Linked DNA regions of Macaca fascicularis. The protein of the gene in region 3 interacts with the protein of the main gene of each other region in a biochemical or structural test. Links are inferred from orthologs where the notes say so. Each region holds a gene or a part of one and is shown on either strand. Other genes may lie near its edges.

What was found.
Region 1: the proteins of SNW1 (region 3) and melanoma-associated antigen 1 form a complex in vitro, tested with the Homo sapiens proteins (2 studies listed by BioGRID). The link is inferred for Macaca fascicularis from reciprocal best matches to the Homo sapiens genes SNW1 and MAGEA1.
Region 2: the proteins of SNW1 (region 3) and NOTCH1 form a complex in vitro, tested with the Homo sapiens proteins (3 studies listed by BioGRID). The link is inferred for Macaca fascicularis from reciprocal best matches to the Homo sapiens genes SNW1 and NOTCH1.

Annotation. Positions count from the first base shown.
Region 1 is NC_088395.1:159,218,225-159,222,971, forward strand, and holds melanoma-associated antigen 1, read left to right. Parts: upstream 1-1,484; 5' UTR 1,485-1,516; coding exon 1,517-2,467; downstream 2,468-4,747.
Region 2 is NC_088389.1:2,814,447-2,820,489, reverse strand, and holds the start of NOTCH1 (neurogenic locus notch homolog protein 1), read right to left. Parts: upstream 4,581-6,043; 5' UTR 4,326-4,580; coding exon 4,265-4,325; intron 2,667-4,264; coding exon 2,588-2,666; intron 1-2,587. UniProt on the Homo sapiens protein: Functions as a receptor for membrane-bound ligands Jagged-1 (JAG1), Jagged-2 (JAG2) and Delta-1 (DLL1) to regulate cell-fate determination.
Region 3 is NC_088381.1:145,712,651-145,720,289, reverse strand, and holds the start of SNW1 (SNW domain-containing protein 1), read left to right. Parts: upstream 1-2,800; 5' UTR 2,801-2,829; coding exon 2,830-2,843; exon of another isoform or gene 2,844-3,207; intron 3,208-7,639. UniProt on the Homo sapiens protein: Involved in pre-mRNA splicing as component of the spliceosome. As a component of the minor spliceosome, involved in the splicing of U12-type introns in pre-mRNAs.

The DNA of each region.
Region 1 (4,747 bases), on a different chromosome or scaffold from region 3:
CAACAGAGGAAGGAGTTCCAGGATCCATACAACCCAAGATGTGCCCCCTTCACAAGGACTGGGGATATCCCTGGCTCCACAGAGTATGGCTGTTTCTTTTTTGTAGCTCTAGGGGGACCAGATCAGGGATGGCCGTATGTTCTAGTCTCACTTGTACCACAGGCAGGAAGTTGGGGAGCCCGCAAGGAGATGGGGTCTTGGGGTAAAGGGGGGATGTCTACCCATCTCAGGGAATTGGGGGTTGAGGAAGCACAGGCTTTGGCAGGAATAAAGATGAGTGAGCCAGACAAGGCTATTGGAATCCTCACCCCAGAACCAAAGGGGTCAGCCCTGGACACTTCACCCAGGGTGTGGCATCTTCTTACTCCTGTTTCCAGATCTCAGAGAGGTGAGGACCTTGTTCTCAGAGGGTGACTCGGGTCAACATAGGGACCCCCATCTGGTCTAAAGACAGAGCAGTCCTACGATCTGCCATGCATTTGGGTGAGGAACATGAGGGAGGATTGAGGATACCCCAGGGCCAGAACACTGACAGAGACCGCACAGAAATCAGCTCTGCCCCTGCTGTCACCCCAGAGAGCATGGGCTGGGTCGTCTGCCAAGGTCCCTCTCTTATCTTGGGATCATTGATGTCAGGGAGGGGGAGGCCTTGATCTGAGAAGGCTTCACTCAGGTCAGTAGAGGGAGAGTCCCAGGCCCTGCCAGGAGTCAAGGTGAGGACCAAACAGGCGCCTCACCCAGGACACATTAATTCCAATGAATTTTGATATCTCTTGCTGTCCTTCCCCGAGGACCTAGGCCCGAGTGGCCAGATGTGGGTCCCCTCCTGTCTTTCTGTTCCTTATCATGGATGTGAGCTCTTTATTTGGATTTCTCAGACCAGCAAAAGGGTGGGATCCAGGTCCTGCCAGGAAAAATGCAAGGGCCCTGCGTGAGAACAGAGGGGATCATCCACCGCATGAGAGTGGGGATGTCACAGAGTCCAGCCCACCCTCCTAATAGCACTGAGGGCCCAGGGCTGTGCTTGCAGTCTGCACCCTGAGGGCCCGTGGATTCCTCTTCCAGGAGCTCCAAGAACCAGGCAGTGAGGCCTTGGTTTGAGACAGTGTCCTCAGATCACAGAGCAGAGGACGCACAGGCTGTGCCAGCAGTCAACGTTTGCCCTGAATGCACACCAAGGGCCCCGCCTGCCGCAGGACACATGGAACTCCACAGAGTCTGGCCTCACCTCCCTACCGTCAGTCCTGTAGAATCGACCTCTGCTGGCCGGCTGTACCCTGAGTGCCCTCTCACTTCCTCCTTCAGGTTTTCAGGGGACAGGCCAACCTGGAGGACAGGATTCCCTGGAGGCCACAGAGGAGCACCAAGGAGAAGATCTGTAAGTAGGCCTTTATTAGAGTCTCCAAGGTTCAGTTCTCAGCTGAGGCCTCTCACACACTCCCTCTCTCTCCAGGCCCGTGGGTCTTCATTGCCCAGCTCCTGTACACTCCTGCCTGCTGCCCTGACCAGAGTCATCATGTCTCTTGAGCAGAGGAGTCTGCACTACAAGCCTGAGGAAGCCCTTGAGGCCCAACAAGAGGCCCTGGGGCTGGTGTGTGTGCAGGCTGCCGCCTCCTCCTCCTCTCCTCTGGTCCTGGGCACCCTGGAGGAGGTGCCTACTGCTGGGTCAACAGATCCCCCCCAGACTCCTCAGGGAGCCTCCGCCTTTCCCACTACCATCAACTTCCCTCGCTGGAGGCAACCCAATGAGAGTTCCAGCAGCCATGAAGAAGAAGGGCCAAGCACCTCGCGTGTCCTGGAGTCCTTGTTCCGAGCAGTACTCACTAAGAAGGTGGCTGATTTGGTTCGTTTTCTGCTCCTCAAGTATCGAGCCAGGGAGCCGGTCACAAAGGCAGAAATGCTGGAGAGAGTCATCAAAAATTACAAGCACTGCTTTCCTGTGATCTTCGGCAAAGCCTCTGAGTCCTTGCAACTGGTCTTTGGCATTGACGTGAAGGAAGCAGACTCCACCGGCCACTCCTATGTCCTTGTCACCTGCCTGGGGCTCTCCTATGACGGCCTGCTGGGTGATAATCAGATCATGCCCAAGACAGGCTTCCTGATAATCATCCTGGTTATGATTGCAATGGAGGGCGGCCGTGCTCCTGAGGAGGAAATCTGGGAAGAGCTGAATGTGATGGAGGTGTATGATGGGAGGGAGCACAGTGCCTATGGGGAGCCCAGGAAGCTGCTCACCCAAGATTTGGTGCAGGAAAAGTACCTGGAGTACCGGCAGGTGCCCTACAGTGATCCTGCACGCTATGAGTTCCTGTGGGGTCCAAGGGCCCTCGCTGAAACCAGCTATGTGAAAGTCCTTGAGTATGTGATCAAGGTCAGTGCAAGAGTTCGCTTTTTCTTCCCATCCCTGCGTGAAGCAGCTTTGAGACAGGAGGGAGCAGCTTTGAGAGAGGATGAAGAGGGAGTCTGAACATGAGTTGCAGCCAAGGCCAGTGGGAGGGGGGCTGGGCTAGTGCACCTTCAAGGACCGTGTCCAGCAGCTTTCCCTGCCTCGTGTGATGTGAGGCCCATTCTTCACTCTGTTTGAAGAGAGCAGTCAGCATTCTCAGTAGTAGGTTTCTGTTCTATTGGATGACTTGGAGATTTATCTTTGTTCTCTTTTGGAATTGTTCAAGTGTTCCTTTTAAGGAATGGTTGAATGAACTTCAGCATCCAAGTTTATGAATGACAGTAGTCACACATAGTGCCGTGTATATAGTTGAGTAGTAAGAGTCTTGTGTTTCATTCAGATTGGGAAATCCATTCTATTTTGTGAATTGGGATAATAACAGCAGTGGAATAAGTATTTACTTAGAAATGTGAAAAATGAGCAGTAAAATAGATGAGATAAAGAACTAAAGAAATTAAGAGATAGTCAATTCTTTTTTTTTTTTTTTTTTTTTTTTTTTGAGACGGAGTCTCACTCTGTCGCCCAGGCTGGAGTGCAGTGGCGCGATCTCGGCTCACTGCAAGCTCCGCTTCCCGGGTTCACGCCATTCTCCTGCCTCAGCCTCCCGAGTAGCTGGGAGTACAGGCGCCCACAACCACGCCCGGCTAATTTTTTGTATTTTTAGTAGAGACGGGGTTTCACCGTGGTCTCGATCTCCTGACCTTGTGATCCGCCCGCCTCGGCCTCCCAAAGTGCTGGGATTACAGGCGTGAGCCACCGCGCCCGGCCGAGATAGTCAATTCTTGCCTTATACCTCAGTCTATTCTGTAACATTTTTAAAGATATATGCATACCTGGATTTCCTTGGCTGCTTTGAGAATGTAGGAGAAATTAAATCTGAATAAAGAATTCTTCCTGTTCACTGGCTCCTTTCTTCTCCATGCACTGAGCAGCTGCTTTTTGGAAGGCCCTGAGTTAGTAGTGGAGATGCTAAGGTAAGCCAGACTCATGCCTACCCATAGGGTTGTAGAGTCTAAGAGCTGCAGTCACGCAATCAAGGTGGCAAGATGTCCTCTGAAGATGTAGAGGAAAAGTAAGAGAGAGTGAGGGTGTGGGGCTCCAGGTGAGAGTGGTAGAGTGTAAATGTCCTGAGCTGGGGCATTTTGGGCTTTGGGAAACTGCAGTTCCTTCTGCGGGAGCTGATTGTAAGGATCCTGGGTGGATCCAGGGCCAGATTCTCAGACGGTGAGAGAAAAGCCTGAGTTGGAAAGCTGCTCTGAGGAGTTTCTTTTGGACGGTGGATAAACAGAGAGGAGTCTCCACCTAGGCAGGATTGGAAAGTGTTCTGCGCTTTTTTTTTTTTTTTTTTCCCATTGCTTCTGAACACAGCGCAAGAGCTAGGTGATGGACACCCATCGTCCGAAAGCGTTTCCTGAGAGAGAAGCGTGAATCTCCCCGGAATGGAGATCCAGAAGCCACTGGCCAGGCACTTTTCTACCTGGCTGGGAGGACCAGAGCTGACTCTTAAAAAGGCATTCTAATGAGGTTATCTCACGTGCAATTTGGCCAGTTGTAAGCAAGATTTCGTGTGTTGACAAAATGAATGAAAATAGTGGTTTGGATGGAAAGGTATGTGGGAGAGAGTAAAGGAGTTGGTTTTTGACTCAAATTCTACGATCTTTGAGCTGTATCCGCCTAGGGGAAGTCGCACACCCAAATTTTGAAGTACATTCTCTAAGAGGCAATACTTACTGAATTTTAGGAATGAAACTTCCCTTTTTGGTTAGTTATTCCATGTCCTATTAAGTTGTATATTCTCTGATAAGTCCTGGAGAACAACAACAAAATCCCAGAGTGGTAGGGTCTGGGCTCAAATAATATTAGAAATAACAGCCACCTGCTATCCATTAAACTTGTAATTTACTCCAGGCCCTGAACCAGCTGCTTCACTTGCATGCACACACTCCAACAGTCCTAGCGGAAGGGTCTAATCACACCTACTACACAGATGTAGAACCAGAGGCACGCAGGGCTTGGGTATTTCCCAGGATCACGTGCCTAATAAGGGACAGGGCTGGAACCCGATCCCTGATCTGAATTCCTGTAGAGCCCATGCTGTTCCCACTCCTCCCAGCCTGTGGCCCACCTCCTGAGTACTACTTCCTTTCTCTTCTCAACACTGTGCCATATGTCTCTGGTGACAAAAAGAAAGACCCCGAGGCCAACGTACTAAAAACAGACCAGGGGAAGGTGACAGTGAGAATCAAACATCATTTGAGGCTGGTGTGCACTGGGTTCCTTGAGAGTTGATTCTGCCAAGGC
Region 2 (6,043 bases), on a different chromosome or scaffold from region 3:
GGAAAGAAATGATTCACCCAGTACTAGTGTGCCAGGCACTGTAACCCCCAGCAAGACCAGGCCCCTTCTACAGCAGAAGTAGCAACTGGCACCAAAAATCAAAGCTCTTTCCGGGCTCACAGCTGGATACCACGGGGCCGGGATTCACACGCAGGCTGGCAGGGCTCCAAAAGCCTGCACCCCAAATGCTTTCGAGAAACAGTGTGGGTTTCTCCCCTTGCTGGGAGAGCCAGGCTTCCTGCAGGTGCCCTGGCCAACTCCTGGACAGACCTCCTGGGCCTTCTGAGAAGGACAAGCAGGAATGGGAAGGCGGAGGCGCCTGAGGGGTGTACGTTGGGTGGGGCTCAAGGCCAGGGAGGAAGCGGCCGCAATGCTCCCCAAACTGCTGGGTGAGCCCTGACCTGTGCCTCCGCAAGCCGGGCCCGGCTGTGGCCCTGGCCTCCAACCCTGCAGCCCAGAGGCGGGAGCCTGAGGACGCACTTCCGTCCCATCTTCTCGTTGGACTTGTGGGGTGTGCACAATGGGGTCTCTGTGGGCTGAGCTCGGCTGCCTGTCAGGCCAAACTGAAGCAGGCTTCCCGCCAAGAAGGAGGGGGCGCCAGGCCCCAGCGAAGGGGACAAGGCCAGGCACCAAAGCCCTGGTCAGTGGCCTGCCTTGGGCAGGAAACAGCTCACCAGGATCCCAGGTTTGGGGAATGGGAGAGTGGGCCCATGACACAAGTGTTTTGCGGCCCTGTGGCAGGGTTTTGGCCCAGACATCAGGGAGCTGCAGCCATCTGTACCCCAAAGCACAGCCCTCTGGCCTGTGGAGACCTCAGTCCCAGATCCCTGTGGGCCAAGCTGTTCCTACTGCCTAGTGCCACTGAGAAGAAGCAACAGGCCCCCAATTTTCCCAGCACGGCATTCCTCCCACCCTCCCAAAGTCCTCTGCAGGAGCAAGAAGCTTCTCCCAGAGACCTGAATGGGTGGAGGCAAAGTCCGAGCCGGGAGCGCGGTGGCGGGGAACGGGGTTATACATTCTGGGAAGCCACGCATAATTAATCACACGGCATTAATCCGCCTCCCCCAACAATAGCTGCTGCACTTCCCCTGGATCCCAGCTGTCGGTCTCTGAATGAAAGGAAACAAGATTTAGGGCATCAAGCGTCCGTGCGGCTTCTGCAGGGGGAGAAGGGGGCCCCAAAAAGCAAAAAAAAAAAAAAAAAAAAAAAGTAGTGTGCGCATTCATTAGTGTCTGACAAAGACACAGCCGGCTTTGTCCATTAAACTGCTCACGGACCTGCTTAATTGGCTTCAGTTTGGGGAGGGTGGGGGCCGGGGAGGGAGGGGGGCTGCTGCCCACAGGCTGGGCAGTCGGCGCAGGCAGGAGCCGGGCTGGGGTTGTCAAGGGAATGGGACCTTCTACAGTTGGAATGAGGGCGCCCAGACTGGCTGGGGAGCCATTTCTTCATCTGTAGCTCCTGGGGGGCGGAGGGAACTCTTTTTCCAGCCACCAAACACCTCCTCATTATTCTCATCAGGGATGGACTCAAGTTGAAGGGCATCGGCCACAGCAGAACAGTTCCCCACCGCCGACTGGCACTCACAGGCAGGCAGGAGGGAGCGGTTCCCCGCGACTTCCCAGCCCCCTCCATGCCCATTTTACATCTGAGCCTGGCAGACCAAAAGGGCCACGGGATTTGGAGGTCAGAGTTTGCAGATGCCAGGACAGAAACCAGACTCAATAATTACCCCACACCCCGCGCCAAAAGATGAGTTCCGCCTTCTCTTCCCCAGCCCCAGCCTGAGGCCGGGAGGAGGGAGCTGGGGCAAACAAGAGCCCAAAGGCGGGTCCAATTGTGAAGGGTCAATTTCCTTCAAAGAGGCATCACCCGCCCAGAGGGGGCATCACCCACCCAGAGGTGGCATCACCTGTGCCCAAAGGAGGCATCACCCACCCAGAGGAGGCATCACCACCAGCCCAGGAGGCATCACCTGTGCCCAGGAGGTATCACCACCAGCCCAGAAGGCATCACCCACCCATAGAGGGTATCACCCACCCAGGGGGCATCACCTGTGCCCAGAGGAGGCATCACCCATCAAGAGGAGGCATCACCACCAGCCCAAGAGGCATCACCACCCACCCAGGAGGCATCACCCCTGGAGAGGAGGCATCACCTGTGCCCAGGAGGCATCATCACCTGCCCAGGAGGCATCACCCGCCCAGAGGAGGTGCCCCAAGTTGGCAGGGTGGTGGGGTCTGGGCTTCTCAGTAAATGGTCCAGAGCTTCCCCTGACAGATCAACTGTTTCTTGGGGACTTTAAGAAGAATTGGGGTCCTGGGACTCCCACTTAGTAACCCAGGAGCCTGAGGTGGCCCACAGAGGAGTGCCTAAGCCCCCAGCAGTCAGACCAGCTCCACACGCAGCATAATTGCTGGTGATTAAGTAATTGCCAGACTTTGTCCAATAAAAGTCAGCACGTGACCGTGCCCAGACTCTGGGCCATCTCCAGAAGACAATGCCCCAGGGTTCTGTCCCCAGCGCGGCTGCAGAAGGCAGGGGCTCTGCCCTCAACAAAGCAACAGGTCCCGCAGGGGTGGTACTCACACGCAGGCCTCCGTGCCATTGGCCGCTTCACACTTCCCGCCATTCAGGCAGGTCTCACCCGGCTGGGAGCACCGCGGGCCTAGGCAGGGGCAGGAGAAGAGAGGTCAGTCTCACCCGCACCACCGAAGGCCCTTGTTACCCTGGGGGTGGGACCCGCACCCAGCCGAGGGGCACTGTCCTCCCCCGACCCTGGACGCCTCTACTCAGTGACATGGGTTACCAGGGCAGGGGACCACAGGAAGCCCCACCATGAAACCAAAGGGCGTCAACATTCTGCCCAGAGTTCTGTAGTCAGAAATGGGGGGAAGAGGAGCAGCAGGGAACACGTCCTGCTTGAAGCAGGATGGGGTGGCCTGACGTGCCGCCTGGACGCAGTGGGGTAAAAGCAGAGACAAAGTGGGCTACTCTCCCAAGCGTTGCCCCCCACCCCAGAGGCTCACTGGGGAGGCTGGCAGAGCAGGGCCCCCCATCCAGCCGCCGAGATTGCCTCTGTTCAAACCCGTTCTGCAAGGGGGCAGAGCTGGACGGCGGGAAGGGGGGGTGGCCACACTCAGCTCCCGCCCGTGGGAAAATGCGACAGCTGCTCGCCCGCTGCCCCGCCCGCCAACAAAGCGCCGGCCTCCGCCTCAGAATCAGAGCGGCCCATTGTGGAGTCGGGGCCGCCTCCAGGGGCACCAGGACTGCACCCCGGAGACCCGGCCCCGCCTCCGCCGACACCCAATACCTGCTCCCGCGGGCGCGCATCTCTAGGGCAGCCCCCAAACACACACAGGAGGGGGATGAAGGTCCCCCATTCGGAAGGAATTCGACCCCATCTCGAGAAGGGATCAATTACTCAAGCCCCTCCCTCCCCATCTTAGGGGGCTGAGAAACGGGGGAGGGTGGTGTGACATAGAGCAGCACTTTCTGGAAGAGAACAAATAATTCTCGCCTGCAACTCCCGGAGAAAGAGTGGATTAATCACTCGATTCCCCAGAGACCCCCCTCGATGTGCGGCGAGGAGAGATGTAAGAGCCCCCCACCCGCGTCCCGCTCTCCACCCCCAAGCTCTCCAAACTTCAACTCTGCAAAGCAAAAGGAAAAGTTCAGTGCCCCCCGGCACGAAGGCTTCTTACGCAAACCCCTCCCCCAAACTGAGAGCTGGGCTGGGGGGCACCGGCGGGCGGGGCGACCGGGAGCCCGGGGCCCCAGCCGGGCCGCGCGGGTCAGTGAAGGCGAACGCGGCGCCGCGGAGCCCACACTCCGCGCCCCAACATCCGCCCCGGCGTGGGCCAGAAGCGAAGAAGAAAGAAGATAAATGGCCCGGAGAAGCAACAGGAAACCAAAACCGACTCTATTCAAATCGAAAAGTAGTAGGCAGCCCGCCCGCCCGGCCGACCGGCGGCAAGCCCCACGCGCGGCGGGTGAAGGGCGGGCCCGGGTAGGGCCTCCGGGACCCCAGCACCTCACGCCGGCCTCCAAACTCGGCTCCAGGCACGGGCGGCGCGAGTCCGCCTCCACGGGGGGATCGAGGGGGAGGGTCGGTCCTCCCCCAGCCCGGGACTCCAAGAACCCCACGCCCCGGGCCGCCCGCTTTTCCCTCTCCACGCCCGCTCCCAGCCACGGGGCGCGTGCGCCGGGCGCTGCCGTTTCCAAAGAGCGCGGAAAGTGGGGGCTCGCGGGTGGGTGGGCGCCTACCTCGTGCGGCGAGCGCGGGCAGCAGCGCCAGGCAGAGCAGGGGCGCCAGGAGCGGCGGCATGCCTCCCCCCCGCTGCCCTCTGCGCCCGGACGGCGGCCTCCTGCGCTGGCCGGCGGGGCTGGGACGCACACGCGCGGCGGACGGTCCCGGGGCGGCGGCGGACAGTCCCGCCCTCTCTTCCCCGGCTGGCAGTTGGCGCTGTGCTCCCGCGGGCTCCCGGGCCCGTCTCCGCGCCTGGCTCGTTCCTTCGCTGCGCTCGCACCCGCGCCCCGCGCCCCGCGCCCCTGCGCTCCCTCCCGCGGCCGAGGCACTAGTGAGGCTCAGAGTCGAGGTGCGCTCCGCCCCCACCGGCCCCGCCCCGCCCGGCCCCGCCCCCACCGGTCCCCCCGCCCCCTCCGCGGCCGCCTCCTCCCGCGCGCTGGGTCCGCCTTTGCGCCTCCCCGAGCTGAGCCGCGCGTCCCGAGCCCAGCCTCTCCGGGGAGGAGGGACCCGGCGGCGCGGCGTGGGTCGGGAGCGGGCGCCTGGGACTACTTCTCGTTTGAAAGTTTTCAGAGGCCAAAAGTTTGAGCCGGGGCTGCGGAAGGATCCGGCTCTGGCCGTTGCCGCGCTCGGCGACAATTGGCGACGGAAGTTTGCATGTGAATAAGCGGAGGAGCCCGGGGTGGAGTAGGGAGGGCGAGGCCGCAGGCAGCTGTGTCCACCGTGCTCTGGGCCGGGCGGGGAGCAGCTGAGGCCACGTTGGGGGACCCCGGGCCCGGGGCAGGGCTTTGGGAGAAGTGGCCTAGCCGTGGGTGCGCCCCTAGCCCAGCGGCTTCTCTCCCTCCCCAGGGCCCCGTGGCTGCGGCTTTAGGCGTCCAGAGGATCGATCGCCGCCAGACACCCCTGGCCGTGATTGCCTGAGCACTTGACCGCGAGGGATGGGGGCGCAGCGGCCTCAGGGCAGGGAGTTTAGGGCGCCCCAAGGGAGCAGCCTGGACCAGTGCCTCGCGGACGTATTGCGCCCCGCTGCCCCAGGGGGGACCCGCGTCGACATGCTCCTCGGTCACCGTCCTCCTCCTGCCGGGGCGCCGCCTGCCTAAGGTGGCCCCAGAAAGCACAAACGGGTCGGGCGGATCTGCCGCTGGCGCCGGCGCAGCCCCTCCCACGTGCCCCTTCCGGCTGATTTATTTCTCCACCACGATGCCAGGCACGGGCACCCTGTGCCAAGCCTGGTTAAGCGCCAGGAGTCCAAAATGCCTGCCATAGTCCCTGCGCAAAGTTCACAGCCTCGTGCTGGGGACAAACAGCGCCCCCTCCCCACTCCAACACAGGGTGGTGAGTGCGATGGCAGAAGGCGCTGGGGGCTCTCCTGGAGTAGGAGGGCTATGCCTGCCCTGAAGGGAGACTGAAAGGCTGAGAGGGACCTAGGACTCGGGAGCCTGGGGGAGTGGCTGCAGAAACCGCAGAGCATGGTGGCAGAGGGAGGCACAGAAAGCGGGACAAATCTCACACCTGACTCCAGCGAGCCTTTCCTGGCACACCTCTTGCCAAGTGCTGAGCACTCTGGAAACAGCCAGTGCAGACGGCCTATCCCCCCCTGTAGCTGCTGCTGGGAGCCTCCCTCGCCTGCGTCCTCCCAGAAGCTGGCCTCACTTCTCCAGGCCTGGGGTAACATCTCGGGGTCAGCGCCCCAGGAGAGGAGGCGTCTGGAGGCAGCAGAGATGTTTATGTAACAGCAGCCCGGCAGCCTGGAGGAGCAGATTTTCCATAGAAGGAAGCGCGGGGCTGTGCGGCTCCCA
Region 3 (7,639 bases):
TTGCTTTCTTAATTATGTTTTGATAGGATTGCTATTAAAGTCAGTTTCTATTCTCTACACACCCCCAAAACAGCGAGGGACTATGACCGGTGGAAATGTCTTGCATGATATGCCTCTGTGGAAAATGAGAGTGGATTGCAAAAGCTCTTCTCCACCCTGTTCTTTTCATCCTGCATAGGTCTTGGTCTATGTCTTACTGATTTCCCATGTTAATTATTTTAACCTTGTCCTCAGTAGCCTCCTTTGTCTCTCATTGCCATAGAAACCCATTCTGCCTTAAGAATGTCTTTCTTGCCTATTCCTTTGACCCAGGCCCTCTACTTAAGTCCTTCTTCAGCTGCAAATCACCTGCTGAATTAAATCTAAGCTCCTTGATCTTGGCTTCCAGGACGTTCTATAATTTGCTTCTCTGTTTTTCTCCTTTTACAAATAATACATTCCTGGAGCAGAGGTTAAAGTAGATCACTGTCAACCAAAATATTAACTGTAATAACTAACATATTTACATAGAACTTAAGAATTAAGTAAAAACATATCCACCTACATTACCTCATTTAAGGCTCATACTCTGCTGTATTATATATAATTATTTTACATTTATATAAATATAGATAAAGCAGATAACATGATCGCATTTTAAGTTCAATAAAACCGGGGCCCAAATAAATTAAATGACTTGCCCTATAAGAATTTATTGGTGCTATGGGTGCTGACGAGTTGGTGGGTGCGGCACACCAACATGGCACAAGTATACGTATGTAACAAACCTGCACGTTATGCACATGTACCCTAAAACTTAAAGTATAATAATAATAAAAAAAATTAAAAAAATTACAGCTACGAAAAAAAAAGAATTTATTGGTGCTGAAGCTACATCTTTCTTTTTTTTTTTTTTTTTTTTGAGACAGCATTTTGCTCTTGTTGCCAAGGCTGGAGTGCAATGGTGCAATCTCAGCTCACCACAACTTCCGCCTCCTGAGTTCAAGCGATTCTCCTGCCTCTGCCTCCCGAGTACTGGGATTACAGGCATGCACCACTATGCCCGGCTAATTTTGTATTTTTAGTAGAGACGGAGTTTCTCCATGTTGGTCATGCTGGTCTCGAACTCCCGACCTCAGGTGATCTGCCTGCCTCCGCCTCCCAAAGTGCTGGGATTATGGGCACAAGCCACCATAACCGGCCAAAGCTACATCTTAAACTCTAATCTTCAGGCTCCCAGGCCATGCATGTTATATTACACAATGTGATGAATAATCCTGTATTTACCAAAAGTGTTTTTGGTTTACATGCTGTGGCAGGCAGAATTCCAGGATATCCTCCAAGATCTCCTCCTCACCCCACCCCCACAGTACATGACCTACATAACCCCTGGGGCCGTGACTATGAAGAGAGATCACTCCCCTGATTCTGTTATGCGGTGTGGCAGAGTTGATCTTTTTTTTTTTTTTTTGGAGACAGAATTTTACTGTCACGCAGGCTGGAGTGCAATGATGCCATCTCGGCTCACAGCAACCTCCACCTCCTGGGTTAAAGCAATTCTTGTATCTCAGCCTCCCTAGTAGCTGGGAAAACAGGAGCACACCACCACACCCAGCTTTTTTTTTTTTTTTTTTTTTTTTTTTTTTTTTTGAGACGGAGTCTCACTCTGTCGCCAGGCTGGAGTGCAGTGGCGTGATCTCGGCTCACTGCAAGCTCCATCTCCCGATTCACACGATTCTCCTGCCTCAGCCTCCCGAGTAGCCGGGACTACAGGAGCACACCACCACACCCAGATAATTTTTGTATTTTTAGTAGAGACAGAGTTTCACCATGTTGCCCAGGCTAGTGTGGAACTCCTGAGCTCAGACAATCCGACCGCCCCGGCTTCCCAAAGTGCTAGGATTACAGGTGTGAGCTACCGCGCCCGGCCAAGAGTTGATCTCAAAACAGGGAGATTATCCAGGTGAGCCTGATCTAATCACACGAGCCCTTTAAAAGCAGAGCATTTTTTCTCCAACGGTGGCAGAAGAGGAGACAGAAAGATGTGCTTCAGCTGGCCCGGGAGCAAGCAAACATCCATGTTGTGAACTACCAATAAATAGGGTTCATGTGGGAAGGAGTTGAGAGTGATCCCTAGGAGCTGAGGGTGGCCACCACTAGCAGCACACAACAAAACAGGGAAGTCGATCCCACAACCGCCAGGAACTGATTTCTGCAAACAAGAATGAATTAGAAGATGGATTTTTCTCCAGAGCCTCCTATGAGATTTCAGCCTTGTCATACCCTGGGCAGGGAACCCAGACGCTCGGTAAATTACCAAGGATTACAAAATATCTCCCCAGGAGATTGTTTTGGGTGGTAAGAGGATACGGTTTAAAGAAAAGTTTTGAGTATGAATGTTTTCAGAGTCCAAGAACTCTCCATTAGCCAGTCTCACTATTACCTATCGTTTTAAACTCCCTATCACCCTTTCACTTACAGTAGCTGTCCCGGGGAAGCTTTTGTATTTTGTACCCTTTCTGGGGGAATGGGGCTGAGTAAGGAACGTAATAAAGCGGCCTAAACAGCATCTCCCTCTATCTTTGATATTTGGCCTAGGGAACGCCCTATCATGTCGCATATAAGCGATCGAGTTATGTATTTGTTGCTAGCTGAAGAGATTATTCCTTGATAACCGCTTGGTCCGGTCAGAATAGAAACGAATGGTACTCACGTTCAAAGAACTACAAATCCCAGAAGGCCTTTCGGCCAGAGCGCCTGCGCATCGCGCGCTCCTTCCTTTCCGCTCCTCATCATCTGGAAAGACCCGCCCCGCGGTGCTGTCGCTCGCGCTGGAAGAAGCGGAAGAAGATGGCGCTCACCAGGTGGGTTGTTGATTGGGGTCCTCGATACGGAAGGGTCTGGGAGTACCAATCTTTTTCATTTCTCTTCCCATACTCTTGGGGCGGTGACCTGACCCGGGGCACAGAATGACGTGGGCCAAAACTACGGCTACGTCCTCCCGCTGGCCGCCGCTACGACTAGGCCTAGTCGAAGCTGGGGTCTTTCCGCGGTTTCCCGGGTTTAGTTCACCCCTCACCGAGGCCGAAAGCCGCGGCGTGGCCTCAGACACTGAAGACTGCATTTTTCGCTTAAGCATCTTGCGGGGAGCGAACAACGCTCCCTCAGGTCCGCGGCTCGGGCGAACAAGAAGGGGTTGGGGACGGTAGTGGCTTATTTGGGCGGAGTGAAGCGCACGGGCTGCGACTGCGCGGCTTTCCGGCCGTTTGCCTGTGTCCCGAAACAAGGATTCCTGAAAAAAGGGACCCGGAGCTGAACAGAGATTTAAATGAGCCACACTAGTGGCAGCTGTCTGCTGATATGCGCCACTGCTCCGCACTTTAACTTTGGAGCTTAGAATTTCTTCCGTAGATAGAACCACCTCAGAGTTTTGCTGTTTTCGGTTACCTTAGTAACTGTCTGTAAAGTGCTCCTTGCCTTTAAGAAAAAGATGCTTTCCAGTGGGAGAGTCCGAGAAGTTACGCTACCCCTGCTAGTCCCCAACCTTGCTGCCCCACCTTAAGTGGGAAAACTTTCCATGCGAACTGAACAGGAAAAGTCTAGTGTTCAGGAAGGTTGTAGAGAAAGTAGTCCTTTTAGGACATCAACTTGAGCCCTCTTAACACCCTTCATTCTCCTCACGCATGTTTTTTTGTTTTTTTTGTTTTTTTCTGGCTGATGACAGTATGAATCCAAAAACTTACTTTGGGAATTACTGTTGGTGCTTTGCTCTGTCCTGGGGATTGTGTACACAGAAGAAAATCTGTCTTTGGCAACAGGGAAGATGGGGTACAAGGTATACAGACATAAAACAATCACAGAACACAAAATGCACATTTGTGTTATACTAACCTTAGTGCAAAAAGAATTAGATGGAATAAGTTGTGTGGGCTGGAGAGTTTTCTTTCCCCTCTCCTTTCTAAAAATTTTTTTGCCTTTTTTTTAAAAAAACTATTTTTTTGAGATGGAGTCTTGCTGTGTTGGCCAGGTTGGTCTTTAACTCTTGGCCTCAAAGCAGTCCTCCTGTTTCGGCCTCCAAAAGTGCCAGGCGTGAGCCACCATGCCCGGCATCTGAATTTTTTTTTTTAATAAAAAGCTAGAAATGGGGTGTCACTGCGTTGGCCAGGGTGGTCTTCAACTCCTGGCCTCCATCAGTCTTCTCACCTAGGCTTCCCAAACTGCTGGGATTGCAGGCATGAGCTACCATGCCCAGCCAAGAGTTTTTTCTTTAGTAAATGTTACAGGCAGCAAACATTTGAGTACCCTCCAGGTGTGAGACACTGTGTCATAGACTAGTAAAGTTATGAGGGGAGACTTAGTGGAAAAGGTGGAATTTGAAATGGACACACAGGAAAAATTTCTAGAGATGTGATGGGTATTTTTTTATTTTATTTTTTGATGCAGGGTCTCACTCTTGCCCAGGCTGGAGTGCAGTGACCCAATCACAGCCCACTGCATCTTCAACCTCCCAAGGCTCAGGTGATCCTCCTGCCTCAGAGTAGCTGGGACTATAGACGCTTGCCTTGATGCCCAGTTAATTTTTGGTTTTTTAGTAGAGGTGGGGTTTTGCCATGTTGCCCAGCCTGTTCTTGAACTGGGCTTAGGTGATCCACCCATCTCAGCCACCACATCGTGTGGCCTGTCATGGGTATTGTGTGCTTAAAATTGCAATGGCAGAATGCAGTATTCAAATGACCAGTCTTGGGGACTCCAGAGCTTTCCATACCTACCATCTGGGGTTCCTCAGTATTCTTTGTAACATCCTTTAAACCAGTAAACGCATTTCCCTGAGTTCTGTGAGCTACCCTAGCAAATTAGTTGAACCTGAGGATGAGGTCATGGGAACCCTGGTTTGTAGTCAGTTGGCCGGTGACCTGGACCTACTATTGGCATCTGAAGTAAGGGCAGTCTTGAGGGACTGAGCCCTCGACCTGTGACATCTGACACTATCTCCAGGTAGATAACATCAAAAATGAATTGAATTAGAGGACACTTGACTGGTGTCCAGTAAACAATTGATAGCTTGCTTGATACGTGGGGAAAAACCATCATGTATCTGGTATCAGAAGTGTTGTGTGTTGTTGATTGTTGAGTGAAATAATAGGAGAAACTGAATTTGTTTTAATTTTATACTCTATCCACATGGAGCTTACATTCTACTGGGATAGAAAGACTATGAGTAAAATCATAATGCAATTTCAGGTAATACACGCTAGGAATAAAAGAGGGTTAGAGAGTGACTCAAAGTTTGGGGTGAAGTGGCTATTTTGGGTAAGATGGTCAGAAAACAGCTCTAGAGAGAGGTAACTGAGCAGAGACATGAGTGCTAAGATGCAAGCTGTTGAAAGATCTGGGGCTACTCTAGGCATACTGCCTATGGGATAGCCCTGCTCCTCAAGGAGCAGTCACAGAAGAAGACATCTGGAGAAGAGTTTTCTATAAAAGCATACGAAAATTTGTTCTGTGTTTTCGTTTTTGTTTTTTTGGTTATGTTTTGTTTTGTTTTGTTTTGTTTTTTGAGGCAGAGTCTCACTCTCACCCAGGCTGGAGTGCAGTGGAGCAATCTCAGCTCACTGCAAACTCCACCTCCCAGGTTCAAGTGATTTTCCTGCCTCAGCTGGGATTACAGGCATCCGCCACCATGCCTGGCTAATTTTTGTATTTTTAGTAGAGACAGGGCTTCACTATGTTGGCATGGCTGGTCTTGAACTCCTGGCCTCAAGTAATCCACCTGCTTTGACCTCCCAAAGTGTTGGGATTACAGGTGTGAGCCACCTCGCCCAGCCGGAAAAACTGTAATCGATTGAGACAGACAGACAGATAGATTTTATGGCAGAAGGAATAGCCAATGTAAAGATCCTGAGATGGCTTAAGGTAAGATAAGAAGGCTATAGCGAAATGAAGATGGTGAGTGCCGGGGAAGAGTGTATTTATTTCTCCTACAGCATTTAAGGAGCTCCAGCTGTGAAGTTAAAAGTCTTGGAGCATTAGGGATGAAAGAAGTATAAGGTGTGATTCCTGCAGAGCTGCTCACAGTCTTGTGAAAACAGAGTAGATAAATGAGTAGATGATTGCAGTACAGTAAGATAATGTTGTAGTAGTGGTATATAGAGGGTTGTAGGGGAGCATAGAGACGGGCATTTAACCCAAACTGGAAGAGTCATGGTACAGCCCTAAAACTATCAAACATACGGAACCTGTATTGAAAGTGCCTAGATACTATGCCAACAGGTTCATGGATTTCTCTCATTTAATATTTATAAGAACCTTATGAAGTAGATACTCTTATGAACTATTATTACAGATGAGAAAACAGATTCAGAGAGGTAAGTAGCTTATCCAGGTTAGTAAGTGGCATAGGTCAGATCTGAAATCTAAGCCTAGCCATCACTTACCGCCCCAGACTGGATTAGATCCCTATCATGTAGACTCATAGCATCTTAGTATCTTAACATCATAACTTAACATGTGTAATTATAGATTTGTGTGATTTTTTTTTTTTGTTCTCTGTCTCTGCAAGACTCCGTTTATAGTCTCATGCCTAGCATAGTGCTTGAACCCAAATAATAAATATTTTTGAATAATTAATAAGCTCTGCTACTTAGGTATGCTTCCTATCCAAGAATCACAAAGGAACTAAGGTTGTTTTCTCCATATTCAGCCATCAGGATCCTTTTGTAGTACTTTAGAGTATCACTATAATACTTTAATACTTAAAAGTTGTTAAGAACAGTTTAGTAGAAAGGTTACCTTGACTAAAGAATAAGCTGCATCTTCAGGGCTTCTGCTTTGATTCTTTGGTCTCTTAAGGTTTTTTTTTGTTGTTGTTTGTTTGTTTTAGAAGGAGTTTTGCTGTTGTTGCCCAGGCTAGAGTGCAATGACGCAATCTTGGCTCACTGTACCCTCCACCTACCGGGTTCAAGTGATTCTCCTACCTCAGCCTCCCAAGTGGCTGGGATTACAGGCACGCACCATCACGCCCGGCTAATTTTGTATTTTTAGTAGAGACAGGGTTTCACCATGTTGGTCAGGCTGGTCTTGAACTCCTGACCTCAGGTGATCCACCCACCTCGGCCTCCCAAAGTGCTGGGATTACAGGTGTGAGCCACCATGGCTGGCCTGGCCTCTAAGTTTTAAATTTCATTCTAGATTCCCTTGGCACTTAAATATACAACTCGTGTTTATTTTAGCTACCTCTTTGTTCTAATCCTAGTTCTTTTGTATTTACACTGAAGTAGTTTAAGGAGCATAAGGGTAAAAATGTTAAAAATAAGGAGTAGCCAGGCATGGTGGCTCATGCCAGTAATCCTAGTACTTTGGGAGGGTGAGGCTGATGGATCACTTGAGGTCAGGAGTTTGAGACCAGCCTGACCAACATGGGCCAACATGACAAAAACCTGTCTCTACTAAAAATACAAAAATTAGGGGTGTGGTGGCACGCACCTGTAATCCCAGCTCCTTGGGAGACTGAGGCATGAGAATCACATGAATCCAGGAGACAGAGGTTTCAGTGAGCCGAGTTTGCTCCACTGCACTCGAGGCTGGGCAACAGCACGAGACTCTGTCTCAAAAAAAATAAAAGGAGTATAAGAATAGCAAGTATATACTGGACAGTTTATCC